3 linked regions of the Elephas maximus indicus genome follow. The protein of the gene in region 3 interacts with the protein of the main gene of each other region in a pairwise test. Links are inferred from orthologs where the notes say so. Each region holds a gene or a part of one and is shown on either strand. Other genes may lie near its edges. The genes, in order: NECAB2, MEAF6 and FXR2.

Region 1 (5,545 bases), on a different chromosome or scaffold from region 3:
GAGGTGGCTGGGTACCTGGGACCCTGCGCTTTGAGCCAGAGGCCTGTGGACTGGGGTGGGGAGAATACAGATGTAGTGGTTGTTAGGCGCCATTGAGCCGGTTCTGACTTGTAGTGACCCTATGTACGTCAGAACAAAACACCACCCGGTCCTGTGTCATTCCCACAGTCCTCATTATGCTTGAGCCCATCATTGCAGCCACTGTGTCAATCCATCTTGTTGAGGGTCTTCCTCTTTTTCACTGACCCTCTAATTTACCAAGCATGATGTCCTTCTCCAGGGACTGGTCCCTTCTGATAACATGTCCAAAGTACGTGAGACGAAGTCTTGCCATACTCTTTTCCAAGGAGCATTCTGGCTGTACTTCTTCCAAGACAGAATCATACATTCTTCTGGCAGTCTATGGTATGTTCAATATTCTTCGCCAACATCGTATCTCAAAGGTGTCAATTTTTCTTTGGTTTTCTTTATTCATTGTCCGGCTTTCATATGCAGATGAGGCAACTGAAAATACCATGGCTTGGGTCAGGTGCAGCTTAGTCCTCAAAGTGACATCTTTGCTTTTTAACACTTTAAAGAGGTCTTTTGCAGCACATTTGCCCAATGCAATATGTCATTTGATTTCTTGACTGCTGCTTCCATGGGCCCCAAGTGTGTGTGTGGTGGGGGGCAATTGTCAGGTGCAAGCAGGTGAGGGGGCAGCATGTTAGAAGATTTGGGGGAGGGTGTGTTCCAGGACTGATGTGCTGTGGAGGTCTTTGCAGCCCCTGCCTACATTCCCTGCCCCTCTCCCCGTCACACTGTCCTCTCAGTTCCTCCTGCCTACCATGCCCAAGCCTGCCACAGGGCCTTTGCACAGGCTGGTCTCTAGCCCATGACTTTTTCCTCCTCTCTTTAACTCCTTCTCTTCCTTTGAGTCACTTGGCATGAGGGTCACTTCCTCTAGGAAGCCTCTGCTGACACAAACCCCTGTTGGTGGTTCTCGTGGCCCATGGCACCACCACTTCAGAGCATCTCAGTTTCAGTTGTTCATTTATTCGTGGAATCATTCCAGTGTATGGCTCTGCACCAGGGGGGTGTTGTGCCCCGGGGTTGGATCCTGGTGCCTAGCACGAGACCTAGCACCTGGCAGGTATTTCTTTTTCTTTTTAAAAATTTTTATTGTGCTTCAAGTGAAAGTTTACAAATCAACTCAGTCTCTCATACAAAAATATATATACACCTTGCTATGTAGTGCTCTCCCCCTAATGAGACAGCACACTCCTCTCCACTCTGTATTTCCTGTGTCCATTGAGCTGACTCCTGTTCCCCTCTGCCTTCTCACCTTCCTTCCAGACAGGAGCTGCCCACATAGTCTCATGTGTCTCCTTGAGCCAAGAAGCTCACTCCTCACCAGGATCATTTTCTGTCTTACAGTCCAGTCCAATCCCTGTCTGAAGAGTTGGTTTTGGGAATGGTTCCTATCTTGGGCTAATGGAAGGTCTGGGGACCGTGACGTCCGGGTTCCCTCTAGTCTCAGTCAGACCGTTAAGTCTGGTCTTTTTGCGAGAATTTGAGGTCTGCATCCCACTGTTCTCCTGCTCCCTCAGGGAGTCTCTGCTGTGTGGCAGGTGTTTCTTAATGAATCCTTTGAGTGGGTGGATGAGTGGGAGTGGGAGAGGAGGAAGGTGTCCTGGGGCGTAGATTGGTTCTGGGCCTGTGTAATGGCAGAGGGAGGTCTGGGGGGCGTGCAATCCCTTGGAGGGCAAGGGTGGGTGCCAGGGAAGTGATGGGGCGGGGGAGGCCTGAGGCGTGTGAACGCTGAACCTAGAGCCGGCACCAGCAGAGGGCGCTGCGGGCTCGCCGGACACAGCGCTCCGGCCCCTGCGGCGGCGCCACGGGGGGAGGAGGGGCTCATGGGAAGGGGGCTCCGGAGGGGGGGCAGCCCCCAGGGACCCCCTTCCAGCAGCCAGACACCCCCGCGCCTCCTCCGCTGCAGCCCCCTCCCCGGCCTGCCGGGGTCCAGCCAACCGGCCCGCGCCCCCAGGCAGCCCCCGCCGCAGCGCCCGGCGGGGTGGGGGTGGTGGACCTGGCACGTGGCGCGGGGTCCGGGCCCCCCCGTCCCCGCCCGGCTGTCCCGAGTGTCCGCGGCCGCGGACCGAGAAGGGAGGCGGGGCCCGGCGGCGGGCGGCGCCGGGAGGGTCGCGCGGGCGGCGGGCGGGGGTCGGCGGGCTCCGGTGGCGGAGCGATGTGCGAGCGGGCGGCGCGCCTGTGCAGGGCCGGCGCGCACAGGCTGCTCCGGGAGCCGCCGCCGCAGGGCCGGGCGCTGGGCGGGCTGCTGCGCTGGGTGGGCGCCAGGATGGGCGAGCCTCGGGCGCCGCTGGCCCCCGACGCTCCCACCACCCCCGACGCCGACCCCCGGCCCGGCCCCGCCGCGCTGCGCGGGGGCACCGCCGTCATCCTGGACGTGAGTACGCGCGCCCCGACCCGCCGGAGCCCCTGCGGGTCCCGGCTGGACCTCGCGTCCCTCTCGGAGGGGACCCAGACAAGGACCTCCGTTCCTGCTGGGACCCCGCGCCCCCTCCTCTCTAGGGGGACCCCGACACGGAACCCTTTTCCTGCCTGGACCCCCGTGGCCCTCCTCTCGGGGGACCCCGAAACGAAACTCGGTTCCTGCCGGGACCCTGTATCCCTCCTCTCTGGGGGAACTCCGTTCCTGCGAGGACCCCGCGTCCCTTCTCTCGAGGGAGGAGAGCCGACACGGACTCCCGGTTCCTGCCGGACCTAGAGCCCCCCTTCTTGGGGGAGACGCCCTGCCTGCTGGGACTCTGCGCCTCGTTCTCTCAGGAAAGGGACCTCAACACGGAGCCCCTTGTTCCCCGAGACCCCTCCTCTCGAGGAATGGCCCCTGACACGGACCCCCTGTTCCCGCCAGGACTCAGAGCCCCCTCTTCTCTGAGCAGGGAACTCGTATCCATTCCCCTCGGCAAACCGAGGCAGGACCCTCACGCGGCCTCTCCGCTCCCCACAGCGTGAACCCCCCAGCCTCCCCATGTCCCTGACTGGTCTGCACCCCGAGTCCTCTCATCTCCCTGGACAGGAGTCCCCTTCACCCTGTGTCCGCTCCTACCTGGAGCGGGGTTTCCTCCTTGCCCCCTCCCTCCACTTCTCCGCTTCCCCACCTTCGCAGAGCTGGGGCCCTTGAACCTCCCTCCCGGACCTGGCCACCTCACTAATTTTGTCCTAGGCAATCCCCGATCCTTTTCCCAGACCTACACTCCACCTTTTACCCTGTCGCTTCCCGGAAAGGAGCCCCGGCCACCCCCAACCCGTCTCCTTTCTATCCCAGTAGCTACTTTTCTGAGACCCCCACAACCCCCAGCTTGGCCCCTCTTTCTTCCCGACGCAGGGCCCCCCAGCCCAGTTGTGTCATTCCTAATCAAAGACCCTTTTCCCCAACACAACCCCCTTGAAAGTGAAGCCCCTCCCCACCTAGCCTCTCTTTTCCGTTGATGCAGAACCACTTCCACCCGAGCCTGGACCCCTCCAGGGCTTCCATTCCCCGACCAGCCACTCTACTCCAAGCACCCAGCTGCCCTCCATTCCTGTCTCCACTCGTGCCCTTCCCTCACGTACCCTTCCCTCACGAGAGCCCTGTGCACTTCAGGAACCCCAGACTCATTCCTCACTCCCTCTCCCATGCAGTCTGGGAACCCATCCCCCTTGCCCCCATGGGGGAGGGAGGATTCCTCAGGATGGATGCCTGCTGGTGGGGAGCTTCCCCCTGTGGAGCATCTTGGAGGAATGGAGGGGCTTCATCAGAGGTCTCCCCCACCTCCAGTGACAGCATGGGGATGCCAACTTGTGTGTCCCAGTGAGGGCCCTGTGAGGTGCGTGGCTGGTGGGGGGTGGGGGTACCTCTGAGTGTATGAAGAGGTGGGTTGTGTTTCTGGGAGTGTGTGTGTGCGTGCACCCCTTTTTCTTCCCTCTGTCTCTCCTGGAACCTGTAGCCAGGTCTGGGCGAGGAGGGCTGGGCAGGGAAGGGACAGCAGGACTGTGAGTGCTTCTGTCTCTGGTGCCCCAAGCATACACTCAAACAGCCAGACACACACACACTCCAACAGCTGGAGCTTCTTTTCCCAGACCCCCAGAGCCGCTGGGCTTTGTCTATACTCCTCCTGATTCCAGTTCTCTGATGGTGATGATGGTGGGCTCTGAGCCTCCTCCGTTTGCTCATTTGAGAAATGGGGTGACTGAGCGGGCCTTCCCAGAGTGCCCTTGCAGACTCCCGGAGCTGACATCACTGGCTGTCACTCACTTGACGAGTCATGCCCAGAGCAGGTGCCTGCCCAGTGCCAGGCTCCAGGGGAGGCCTGGGACCCCCATCCTTGGGGGCTCGCACTGTTGGGAGGAAGGGTGTGAGGTGCCTAGGCTGATTCTGGAGGAGGGTTTGGGGGCGTCTGATCCCCCTTCAGCCTCAGTCACTGTGATTCCTGCTGGTCCCCAGGTGTCAGGGTTCAGTAAGGGGAAGGGGCGACCAGCCCCCATGGGGCAGCAGGGCGCATGTAAGCCCCCCCTCCAGCTGCTTCTTCAGCCTGGTACAGCCCCTGTGATGATAAAGGACAGTGCTCCAGGGATGGAGGGTGGCAGGGCCAGCTGGCTGGTGCCCCAGGGCAAGGAGGGAGGTGGGACAGCCAGAGGCCCCAGCCTCCTCCCCGCCTCTCTTGAGCACCACTTACCTACCCAGTCTAACAAGCTGATTAAGCTCAGAGGAAACTGAGGCTCAGGGATCGGCAGCAACCTGCCTGAGGCCCCTATTTTTTTCCCAGATCTGGGAAGTTAGGGTCTGCCCCTTCCCTGCAGTCGCACTCAGACATTAGTGTGCAAATAAGATCCTGAGGATTTGGATAAAAAGTAGGTTTTGACTTAGTGGGGCCAGGTGGGCCTGAGACTCTGCATTTCTAACAGGCTTCCAGGGGTACCCAGTGCTGCGGGCCTGACTCATTTCCAGGTGGAGCAGGTCTCTAGCACACAGGTTTCAACAATGGCCACACCCAGGAAGCCTTAAAACTCAAGACACCTGGGTCCCACCAGCGAGGCAGGGCGGGGGTGCAGAGGCTTGCAAAGCCCACCAGGCGATGGTCGATGGTCGCGTGTGGGAGGGATGGGCATCCCTGGCCTTGGTGGATGGGGCCAGGGCTCTGCCTCGGTGCGGATGTCGCCGGAAAGGCCGATGAAAAAGAGATTCAGTCTTCCCCAGCCGAGCAGAGGCTTTTCTCACAGAAGCCCTCAGGTTTGGGAATTGGGCTGCTCCTTTTCCCTGCCTGGTGCAGCCAGAACAGCCTGCCCTGGTTTCTGAGCCCCTGGCACCTGTGCCACCTACTCCCCACGCAGAAAATCACTCGTCCGCCTCCCCCCCCCCAACCCCCACCCACCCACAGCCTATTCAGTTCAGACCAAATCCAACCTTCCTGAAGAAACAAGGCTCTGAGGGGTCTGGGAGAGGGTGCAAGGCTTGGCGTGTGGCTGTGTCCCCGATCACTGATTCTTTGTGTGACGTGTGTGT
Region 2 (5,545 bases), on a different chromosome or scaffold from region 3:
AATCCTGAAGGTGGGGCATTCTACAAGACAATGTCATCAAACAAAAACCAAGGGTTAGAGACTCTCCTAAATTAAAACAGACTAAATAGACACAATGACCAAATGGAATGACTAAACACTGACTGGATTCAGGATCTAAACAAAGTAACAATGCATTCGGGGGATGATTGGAAATTTAAATAAAGACGGTGTATGACACTATTAACATAATGTTAATTTTCTAGGTGAGGTAATTGCAGCCAGGTAGGAGAAACAGTCTTAGTCTTAGGCAGTACATGCTGACATACTTATGGGCAAAATACCATGACATCTGTACTGAACTTTCAAATGGTTTAGGAAATAAACAGTGTACGGGGGAGGGAGTGGGTATGATGATAAAGAGGGAGTATGAGGGAGATCTCTGTGGTGATGGAATAGTTCTGTATCTTGATTGTGCTGGTGGTTACACGAATCTACAGAACTATACACACACATTATATCAATGTCAGTTTCTGGTCTTGATATTATAATGTAGCTGCATAAGATGTAACTGCTGGGGGAAACTGGGTGAAGGTACACCAGACCATCCTCTACCATCTTGAAACTTCCTGTGAATCTCCAATTATTTCAAAATAAAAAAAGTTGTTTTAAATTATGTATAGATATGTATTTCAAGCCCTGGTGGCACAGTGGTTAAGAGCTCGACTGCTAACCAAAAGGTCCGCAGTTCTAATCTACTAGCCACTCCTTAGAAACCCTATGGGGCAGTTCTACTCTGTCCTACAGGGTCACTATGAGTCAGAATCAGCTCAATGGGTTTGGCGTTTTGGTACTGGTATGTGTTTATATATGTTACAAAGAGAGAAAAAGCCAATGTGGCAACATGCTAGAATGTAGGTGGAGGGTAGCCAGTGCTTATGTACTATTCTGTCAACTTTTCTATAGATTTGAAAATTTTCGAAAAGTTGGGAAATTTTTAAATAATAATATTATTACATAAATAGTGGTACAGTGTGCACCCAGGTATGGCAAAAGCTGTGAAGGTGGAACTCATGACTGATTAAAACGTGGAAAACACTATTCCCCATGTTGTATTTCATTTACACTGCACACAACCCTGTGCCATAGGCTGGCTTTCTCTGTTTTACAGATGTAGAATCTGTCCAAGGTTACTCAGTGAGGCAGTGAGGCTGAGCCAGAGTTCAAGTCCTGATCTCCTGCCCACAAAGCTACTACCAAGAAACATATAGTCCTAAAAACAAATATTACTAGGGCACATTACAGAACACTACAGCTGCTGACACTCACTTCTGGTTGGTCAGATACCGATCCCAGCCACGAATAATATTGCCATACATCTGAGTGTCTTCCAGGTAGCTTCCTTCAAAAGCATAGATCTGTCTTTCCAAGTTTGCCAGTGTTTCCTGGTAGATGAAAAACAGGGAAATGGATAATGCCTTTTAAAAGCACGCATTAAGTCTGACCAAACCGAAATTTTGATATGAGACTTATAAACCTAAGCTCAACTACAGTAAAACACCCTTGTGGAGAGAAAGAGGATAATGGCAGGGGCAGATTGTTACGGTCTAAGGCAGTCTTGACCTTTTGGGGTAATGGACCACACTGAGAAGAGAATGGAATATACAGACTCTGTCCCCAGAAAAATGCATATACATGCTTAATTCTGCATATACATTAAAGGGTTCATGGAACCCCAGGTGTGAAAAACCCCCGCTGAAGCAGAACATGGGCAGTCTCCTCTCTCAGGCACAAAAGGTATCACCAGAGAGAAGGATGGCTGAAGAGCCTTCTAGCGCCAACGCCTCCCCTCCCCGCAGGCTCTGAAAGGCCGCCAGCCCACTAGGCTGCCAGGACTAGGCTGCCGGTTGCTATGGAAACCTGGAAGGGCAGCTGCAGGTGAGATGAGCCTCCCCCATGCCCAATCCAAAACGCGGGGAGGAGTGTCTTATCCACCAAGGCTCAGGGGACCCTGGATGAATATCACAACTCCCAATTCCCTAGCCGGAGTCTCCCCTCATCTGTCACCTTCCAAACGTTCCCAAACAAACCAAACCCTTGCCCATCAAAAATCCCATCCAACAGATCTACTCCTAGTCCCCAAAAGGTCACACCCCCTATCATCGTCCTAAGGCCAGACTGGGTGTCCTTCCCACATGTGCCTCGTACCCTATCCCCCTCAAAGCCCACGGACAAGCCCGAACCAACCACTCAACAGCCCACCGGCACGCCCGCCCCCCGCTCCTCAAACATCAAGGGGACGCCCGCCCCCCTCGCCCCTCCAAGGGCCACGGACACACCGCGTTCACCCCCAGAGCTCACCGACACTCGCCTTTTCTCGAGTCCCACGCACCCTCCCCCAGCCCCGGCCGCTTCCTTCTTCCACGCCCCCCTCCTTCCTCTTCCCCCTCCCCCTCCCCGGCTTCCGCGCCCCGCCCCCGGGCCCCGAGGCCCGGCCCCGGCGCCCAGCTCCGGACCCGCGCAACCGGGAAATGGAGCCGCCGCAGGCCGCGGAATGCGCAGCTGGGTCCCAGGTCCCGGGACTCGTCCCGCCGCGCTGCGTCCCCGGAGTAACGGCCTGGCGCGGCTGGCCTGGGACCCGGAGGCGGGGGCAGGCGCGAAGCCTCAACCTGGGCGCTCCCGGCCCTAGTCCCTCACCGCCAGCTCCTGCTTCCGCTTCACCAGCTCGGCCAGCTCCCGCCGGGTGTCCGGGATCTGCGGCGGCGCCGCCTTGTTGTGCATCGCCATGTTGGGCAGAGGCGGGCGGCGGCGGCGGCAGCGGCGGCGGCGGCGGCGGCGGCGGGAGGCTGGGGGCGGTCCCTGCGCGCCGCGGCCGGCCCGCGAGGGGGCGCCCGCCGCTGCACTGCGCCTGCGCGCGCGGCTTCCGGAGCCGCGCGCCACGGCGCCGGGTGCTCTGGCCCTGGGGTGCTCTGGCCCTTTGGCGCTCGCAAACCCAGCTTGGAAGGGTCCAGGGGTCCGGGCTTCTTCTGGTCGTTCTCCTAGCCGCAGCTCTACCCGTCAGTTGACAACTGGGGTTTAGAGATACCACAAGGTGACTACGTCCCAAGCCAAACTTAAGTCTGCTCCAGTGTTCCTCACCTTAGTGAATGATTTTCACTCTCCTTCCTGTTGCCAGAATTGGAAACCGGGGTATCATCCTTCCCTTTACCCCCTAATCTGATCCAAAAACCAAGCCCTGTGGACCCTGGAAGAGCTCCCAAATCCACTCACATGTCTATCGCCTCTGCTACCTCCCCATTTCATCCAGGCCCTCCCTATTTTTGACTACATTTTTCCAATAGCCTCCTTACTTCCACTCTTAGCTTCCTTCAATCCATTGTCCACAGTGAGGCCAGGGTGATCTTTCAAAATGGAATCCGATGTCATTCTTGTGGTTAAAATCTTTCAATGGCTGCCCTGTTACCCTTTTAGAGAAACAAGTATTATGTAGGGAGCACAAACTGGAGCCAGAACTACCTGGTTGAAAATCTTACCTGTCCACTCATAAGCTGTGCCACCTCTGGCAGGTAACTAAATTTCACTGTCTCAGCATCCTCATCTGTAAAATGGAGGTAGTAATAGAACATACATAATACAGTACACCACTCATCTGTCAGTGTGTCCTACTGTGGTGGCTTGCTTGTTGCCGTGATGCTGAAAGCTATGCCACTGATATTCAAATACCAGCAGGGTCACCCATGGTGGACAGGTTTCAGCACAGGTTCCAGACTAAGACAGACTAGAAAGAAGGACTTGGCAATCTACTTCTAAAAAAAAACTTTGCCAGTGAAAACCTTATGAATGGGCAAAACATTGTCTGATACAGTGCTGGAAGATGAGCCCCTCAGGTCAGAAGGTACTCAAAATACAACTGGGAAGGTTGCCTCCTCAAAGTAGAGTAAACCTTAATGACCTGGACAGAGTAAAGCTTTCCGGACTTTCATTTGGTGATGTGGCATGACTCAAAGAAGAAACAGCTGCAAACATCCATTAGTAATCGGAACATGAAATGTATGAAGTATGAATCCAGGAAAATTAAAAGTTGTCAGAAATGAAATGGAATGCTTGATGACAGATATCCTAGGGATTGGTGAGCTGAAATGGACTGGTATTGATTATTTGGAATCAGGCAGTCATATGCTCTGCTATGCCAGGAATGACAAATTGAAGCACAGCTTTGCATTCATAATAAAAAAAAAAATTCAAGATCTGTCCTAAAGTACAATGCTGTCAGTGATAGGATAATATCATATGCCTTCAAGAAAGACTAGTTAATATGACTATTACTCAAATTTACACACCAACCATTAATGCCAAAGATGAAAAAATTGAGAATTTTTTCCAACTTCAGCAGTCTGAAATTGATCAAACATACAATCAAGATGCATTGTTACTCATGATTGGAATGTCAAAGTTGGAAACAGAAGGATCAGTAGCTGGAAAATAGGATCTTGGTGATAGAAATGACGCTGGAGATTGCATGATAGAATTTTGCAAGACCAATGACCTATTCATTGGAAATACCTTTTTTCAATAACATAAACAGCAACTATACACCTGGACCTCGCTGTATGAAATACACAGGAATCAAGTCAGCAACATCTGTGGAAAGAGACAATGGGAAATCTCAATATTATCAGTCATAATGAGGACAGGGGCTGATTGCAGAACAGACCATCAATTGCTCATAAACGAGTTCAGTTGAAGCTGAAGAAAATTAAAACAGGTTCATGAAAGCCAAATCCAACCTTGAGGATATCCCACCCAAATTTATAGACCATATCAAGAATAAATTTGAAGCATTGAACACTAATGATCAAAGACCAGACGAATTTGGGATGACATAAAGGACACATGAAGAAAGCAAAAGGTCATTAGAAAGAAAAAATCAAAATGGATGTCAGAAGAGACTCTGAAACTTGCTGTTGAACATCGAGTAGCTAAAGCAAATGGAAGAAATGATGAAGTAAAAGAGCTGAAAAGATTTCTAAGTATTATAATAAAAATGCAAAGACCTGGAGTTAGAAAACCAAAAGGGAAGAACATGCTTGGCACTTCTCAAGCTGAAAGAACTGAAGGAAAAACTGAAGCCTCAAGTTGCTATATTGAAGGATTCTATGGGCAAAATACTGAACAAAACAGGAAGCAGCGAAAGAAGATGGAAGGAATACACAGAGTCACTGTACCAAAAAGCACTGGTTGACATTCAACCATTTCAGGAGGTAGCATATGATCAAGAACCAATGGTATTGAAGGAAGAAGTTCAAGCTGCGCTGAAAGCATTGGTGAAAAACAAGGATCTGGGAACTGACAGAATACAAATTGAGATATTTCACCAAACGGATGCAACGCTGGAAGCACTTGTCTATGCCAAGAAATTTGGAAGACAGCTACCTGGCCAACCAACAGGAAGAGATCCATATTTGTCCCATTGCAAAGAAATGTAATCCAGCAGAATGCATAAATTATCGAACAGTATCATTAATATTACACGCAAGTAAAATTTTGCTGAAGATGATTAAAAAATGGATGCAGCAGTGTATTTACA
Region 3 (5,545 bases):
TTGGAAACCCTATGGGGAAGTTCTACTCTGTCCTACAGGGTCACTATTGATAAGAATCAGTTTGAGGAGCCATAGTCTTTGTAACTCTCACCAAATTACTGGGTGAGGACAAATGAGGTGCTTGTGGCCCACCAAGGGGATTGGATAGCTTGCTAATAACTAAGTCAGGTGCATGGCACCCTTGTGGTGGGTGGGGCCATGCAAATAAGGTGTATGGAAACCTAACAAGGGGATTGGTCAGTTTTGCCAGGCTTAAAATGAGCCATCCCAGAGGTGGGAAGGAAGCATCTCACCACCACCAAGAAAGAAGAGCCAGGAGTAGAGTGTGTTCTTTGGACCTGGGACCGCTGCACTGAGAACCTCCTAGATCCAGGAGACAGAGATAGAGAGCTGTAACGGGAGCCCTGGTGGCACAGTGGTTAAAATGCTCAGCTGCTAAGGGAAAGGTCAGTGGTTTGAACCCACCAGCTGTTTTGCGGGAGAAAGATGTGGCAGTTTGCTTTGGTAAAGATCTACAGCCTTGGATATCCCTTGGGGCTCGCTATGAGTCAGAATTGACTCACTGGCAATTTTTTATCTTTTGTAATTTTTGCAGAAGCCGTTCGCCAGGCTGTTTCTTCCGTGGTACTGCTGGGTGGGCTTGAATCATCAACCTTTAGCTTAGTCTGAGCACAGACTGAACATCCAAAACCCAAAACCCGTTGCCATTGAGTCAATTCTGACAAATAGCAACCATAGGACAAAGTAGAACTGCCGGATAGGATTTCCAAGACTGTAATCTTCACTGAAGCAGACTGTCACATCTTTCTCCTGCAGAGCGGCTGATGGGTTTGAACCACTGCTCTTTTGGTTAGCAGTAGAAAGCTTAGCCACAGCACCACCTTAAACCAAACTTACCCACACCACCTGTTGCCGTCCAGTGGATTCCGACTCATAGTGACCCTATAGGACAGAGTAGAACTGCCCTATAGGGTCTCCAAGGAGCGGCTGGTGGATTCAAACCGCAGACCTCTTGGTTAGCAGCCGAGCTCTTAACCACTGTGCCACCAGGGCTCCAATACATTAAAAAAAAAAGGAAAAACCCGTTGCCATGGAGTCAATTCGGACCCATAGCGACCCTATAAGATAGAGTAGAACTGCCCAGTGGGGGCTAAATAAATGTTCACTAAATAATGAAGTGCACAACGCACGACTCTAATTTCTGTGCTCTTTAACTCACTTCTACCTAAATTTCTCACTTGTCTCAGCTCAAGAATCCGAAGTTTTCCTCATTCTACCCTTAAAAAAAAAAACCCTTACTCCCCGGCAATTCTTCCTATTTTGAATTTTCTCAGCATTTAGATATAAGATTTTGTGCCAATCTAAGTTCCATTTCCCAGTGTTGCCCTGAAATTATTCTGTAATCTTTCATTATATGCATGACCAGGATCTCCTTGTATTCTCAAGGCAAGAACCGTAACTCTTAAGTCTCCTATAGCACAAAGTTGTAGGAGCGTAAAAGAAATTCAAAACACGCTTGTGGACAGCGCACGCGCATCAGGCACTTTTTGGCATTCCGACCCATTTTTTTTTTTTTTTTTTTTTTCTTCCTTTGGAGCGTGCGCACCAAGAAAGACAAAAGGTGGGGAAAATGACCAAGCAGTCATTCAGGCGCATGCCCAACTCTAACATAGCCAAGCCAAGTGGGGCTCCTAGTGGTGAAGCGGCTGTGGTATGACCAGAACCAGCAGAAATCCAATCCGACTGAGTGAGCTTGGTCCCTCCCTTCCCATGATTGGCTAGCTCTCAGTGTTGTGGGGCGGGGAAAGGAAGAGATGGAGTGTGGAAGAGAGGGGGGCGGGGACAGTGAAGAACGCTTAACTCGTTCTGCGCAAGCGTAAGTCAGCGACCAGGAGGGGGCGTGAGAGAGTGAAAGGGAGTGTGGAAGTCCCGATGCGCTGGCGAGCGCGAGCGGGGTCGCCAGCCTTGACGCCTGCGCCGTGGCCCTCCCGGCCCCGCGCGCGGCGGGCGGGTGCCCGGTGCGCCTGCGCAGTAGGCGGCGGCGGCAGAGGGAGGTGGAGGCCGTGGAGCGGCAGCGGCAACAGCGGGTCCCGGGACTGAGGCGGCAGCGGGGGCGGCGGCGGGCGGAAGCTGAGGTGACGAAGGCAGCGGCGGCGGCGGCGGCGGCAGCCGTTTCCCTCACGGTGGCGGAGACCAAGGCGGCGGCGGCGGACGGGGAGCGGCCCGGCCCCGGCCCCCTGCTCGTTGGCTGTGGCAGGGCCGCCGTGGGGCCGGCCCGGCTCCCGCCCCCCGCGGCTCCCCCTCCGGCTCCTCCTCCGGGGAGACGCCGGGGGCCCGGCCCGGCCCGGACTCAGACCACTGCTGCAGCCGCCGCCGGGGCAGTCGGAGGCGGTGGCGGCGCCATGGGCGGCCTGGCCTCTGGGGGGGATGTGGAGCCGGGACTGCCCGTCGAGGTGCGTGGCTCCAACGGGGCCTTCTACAAGGTGAGGCGGCGCGCCGATCGGGGACACCTGCCTGTACCCCCTCCCCCAGCCAGAGCAGGGAAGAGCAGGGCGGGATCGAGCTCTGGAGCCGAGTCCTGACCCCTAGAACCTTAGACTCACGCTCCCACCCTCAGCTCTCAGGGGGAGACCTCTGGGAGTTAACCCTCTTCCTCTTGTTTTTGACCCTCTATCACACCCGCTTTTTATCTCATGTCAGAGAGAATGACTGTCAGGGCATTGTTGTGTCTGAATTTGTGTCTCTCTCCTCCCCCCAGAAAACAACTCCGTTTACCCAGCTTATTGACTTTTTCTGTTTCACAGTAGAAGACAGACCTTAGAATAGCATTTCTCCACAGCCTGAGCACATGTAGAATTCTCTTTCTTCTCCCTCCTTCCCCCATGGGAAGGCTGTCCCATATTAGATCGTTTCATCTTCCTCTGAGAGACCTCTGCCCACTGGCTCTGGGAAACCCAACCCATTTTCACCTTGTATTCCTGTTGCCAGCCTGAGGAGAAACGGTCAAAATTCATTTATGGTATTTGGCATCTTTGACCTCAGGAACTCTGGATTATTCCAATCCAGTTGCCCCCCAGCCATAAGGTGGCATCTTTTCCCAGGCCTCTCACCCCACCCATTTATCTTAGGGCCAGTTGGTCTACTCTTCTACCAGGAATTAACTTGCATTAGTTATTTCACTTTGACCTTACGTATGTTTAGATCATCCGTAGTTTTTCCATCTTCATGAACACTAAAAGGGTCCCTTCTGTTTATCCTCTTCTTAAAGATTTCCACTTTTAGAAGACTTTTGGCCAGCTCTCCTAATTTGAGAATCTGACAGCAGTCTTTTTGGGAAGGAGAAGGGGACTAGCTTTCAAAGACCCTTGCTTATTTCAGTCCACTCCCCCTCTTCCAGAGTTTGATTCCACAGAAGTTCTGAATTTTCAGTTTTTCCCATTTAGACTAAGCCAGAGGGAGACCCTTTTTGCTTCCCAAGAATTTTTCTTTGTGTAACCATTGTTATTCTGAACCTCTCTGGACCTTACGCCTGGGATTGTCTAGAGACTTCCCTGATTCCTGTCTGTATCTTTCATGTCGCCCTGAAGAGCTGGGAAGAGATATCTTCTCAGGACATCGCTTGTAGTGAAAAGAGCCTCTTTTGCTCCACTTTCCCTCAAATCTTTTCTCCCACAGTAGACATCTATACCTTCATGCCCTTGGAAATGACTTTCTCCAACTCCTCTGTGAAGTCATATCTCACTATAACTGGAAAGGGTCTCATATTTGCCCTTGGAGTGGATGGTTTCTGCCCCAACTTCAATTGATAGGTTCAGTGTACTCATTACGTCCCCACTCTAAATGCCTATCCATTTCTGCCTTACTCCCTTCACCAGATTTCTTTATATCCAGTAACTGTGGGTACCCCTATTTGTCTATCTTAACTTTCTCAATTCACTTTTTTGACTTTTATTGTAACATTTCTATACTCCTCCGTTATCCTCAGGAACCACCTTATTCCTAGCCAGCGGAAGGAAGCTCCAGCTGATCTCTTCTGTCATCTTTTTCTCCATACTTGCCTACTCTTGGGACATTTTCTTCAAGCCTGCCCCTGTAATAGCGTTTCTGTTTTCCTTGGCAGAAAGTCTCTCATTTCTGTCTGGTTCTGATAGAGCATACTTGCCTCTTATATTCTTTCCCCCGAATTCATATTACCGTTGCCGAAATACCCTTCCTCATTAGATGTTAGCCTCACTTCCCCTAGTCATTCATCTGGGTCCTTTCTGGGTTCCAAGAAAGGTGATTCTTAAATTGAGTCTGAGATGAAGCTGTGATGTCTGTTTCTGTTCTAGGAAGCGTGGGAGCCAAGCACAGCTGGGAAAGATTGAGTATCCAGTTCAAATTAACTGTATGACATTGTTGGAAAGGGAGATATTTCACTTTCCACATACAAGTGTTCAACAGAGAGTCTGTCTCTGGATCTTTCCCACTTCTTCTGTGGGCTATGGGAATGACAGGCTTTTTGAGTGAATTAGGGACAGGATACTTTGATTTAGAGAGTAGAATTTGGACTTGAGCTAGAAGTCAGGTGATGTGGCTACTTTAGCATTTGTTGCCCCAAGGCCTCAGTTAAAAACAATAAATCCCTAAATTCAGACTAATCTTTCCTCAGTTCTCAGTGCCATATAGATGCTTATCCATTTTGACCTTGCTACTGATTTAATATTCATGACTCAGCAAACTTTTGTGTGGGTCAGGGAGTATTTACACTTTTTCTAGAGCTATAAACTTAGGGAGGTCCGTTTTTCCTCTTTAAGAATTGGGTCCTACTGTTTTGATTCTCTTCTAAGAAAGATAGAGCCGCAAATGTCAGATCTAGGATCTAAGTTATCTTGTAGCTATCCCACCAACCCTTCCTGTTCTGTCAGAACTTAGTGTATTTTATTCTTAAAGTTGTACTCTTCCAAATAAGATACCTATTCACCTTCCAGGGCATAGCCATTCAACTTTCCAGATCTTGCCTTGATATCTTAATTCCTATTCTGTTTTTTTTCTCTAAAGTTTATTTTGTTGTTGAGTATATATGCAGTATAACATACACCAATTCAACAGTTTCTACATGTGTAGTTTAGTGACACTGATTACATTGTTCGAGTTGTGCAACCATTCTCACCCTCCTTCTCTGAGCCGTCCTTCCGCATTAACGGAAACTCACTGCCCCCTAAGGTTCCTATCCAGTCGCTGGAGTTGCTGTTGTCAGTCCAATCCCACGTAGATAGTTCTTAAAAGATCCTAATGCTCAAGGCAGACCTGTTTTTACTAGTTAAGCTAACTCCCATTCCTTTTTTAAAGAATATGGCATACTGAGCTTCAACACATGGTTTTTACCCAGACTCTCCCTGCTTTTCTCCTAGAACTTTCTTCTTTCTTTTTAAAAAATTTATTGTGGCAAAATATATATAATAAAACATTTGCCATTTCAACCATTTTTATATATGCACTTTCCCCTTCTTTTTTTTGAGACTGCAGGACTAGAACATAAGTTGAAAGTGGGGACTAATTTCAT

Evidence for each region.
Region 1: the proteins of FXR2 (region 3) and NECAB2 interact in a two-hybrid assay, tested with the Homo sapiens proteins (2 studies listed by BioGRID and IntAct). The link is inferred for Elephas maximus indicus from reciprocal best matches to the Homo sapiens genes FXR2 and NECAB2.
Region 2: the proteins of FXR2 (region 3) and MEAF6 interact in binary tests that used the Homo sapiens proteins (3 or more experiments, as listed by UniProt). The two-hybrid records come from large-scale screens. The link is inferred for Elephas maximus indicus from reciprocal best matches to the Homo sapiens genes FXR2 and MEAF6.

What each region holds. Positions count from the first base shown.
Region 1 is NC_064839.1:49,958,976-49,964,520, forward strand, and holds the start of NECAB2 (N-terminal EF-hand calcium-binding protein 2), read left to right. Parts: upstream 1-2,227; coding exon 2,228-2,446; intron 2,447-5,545. UniProt on the Homo sapiens protein: May act as a signaling scaffold protein that senses intracellular calcium.
Region 2 is NC_064821.1:79,102,526-79,108,070, forward strand, and holds the start of MEAF6 (chromatin modification-related protein MEAF6), read right to left. Parts: upstream 2,808-5,545; 5' UTR 2,746-2,807; coding exon 2,656-2,745; intron 1,404-2,655; coding exon 1,288-1,403; intron 1-1,287.
Region 3 is NC_064837.1:13,170,691-13,176,235, forward strand, and holds the start of FXR2 (RNA-binding protein FXR2), read left to right. Parts: upstream 1-1,986; 5' UTR 1,987-2,402; coding exon 2,403-2,483; intron 2,484-5,545. UniProt on the Homo sapiens protein: mRNA-binding protein that acts as a regulator of mRNAs translation and/or stability, and which is required for adult hippocampal neurogenesis. Specifically binds to AU-rich elements (AREs) in the 3'-UTR of target mRNAs.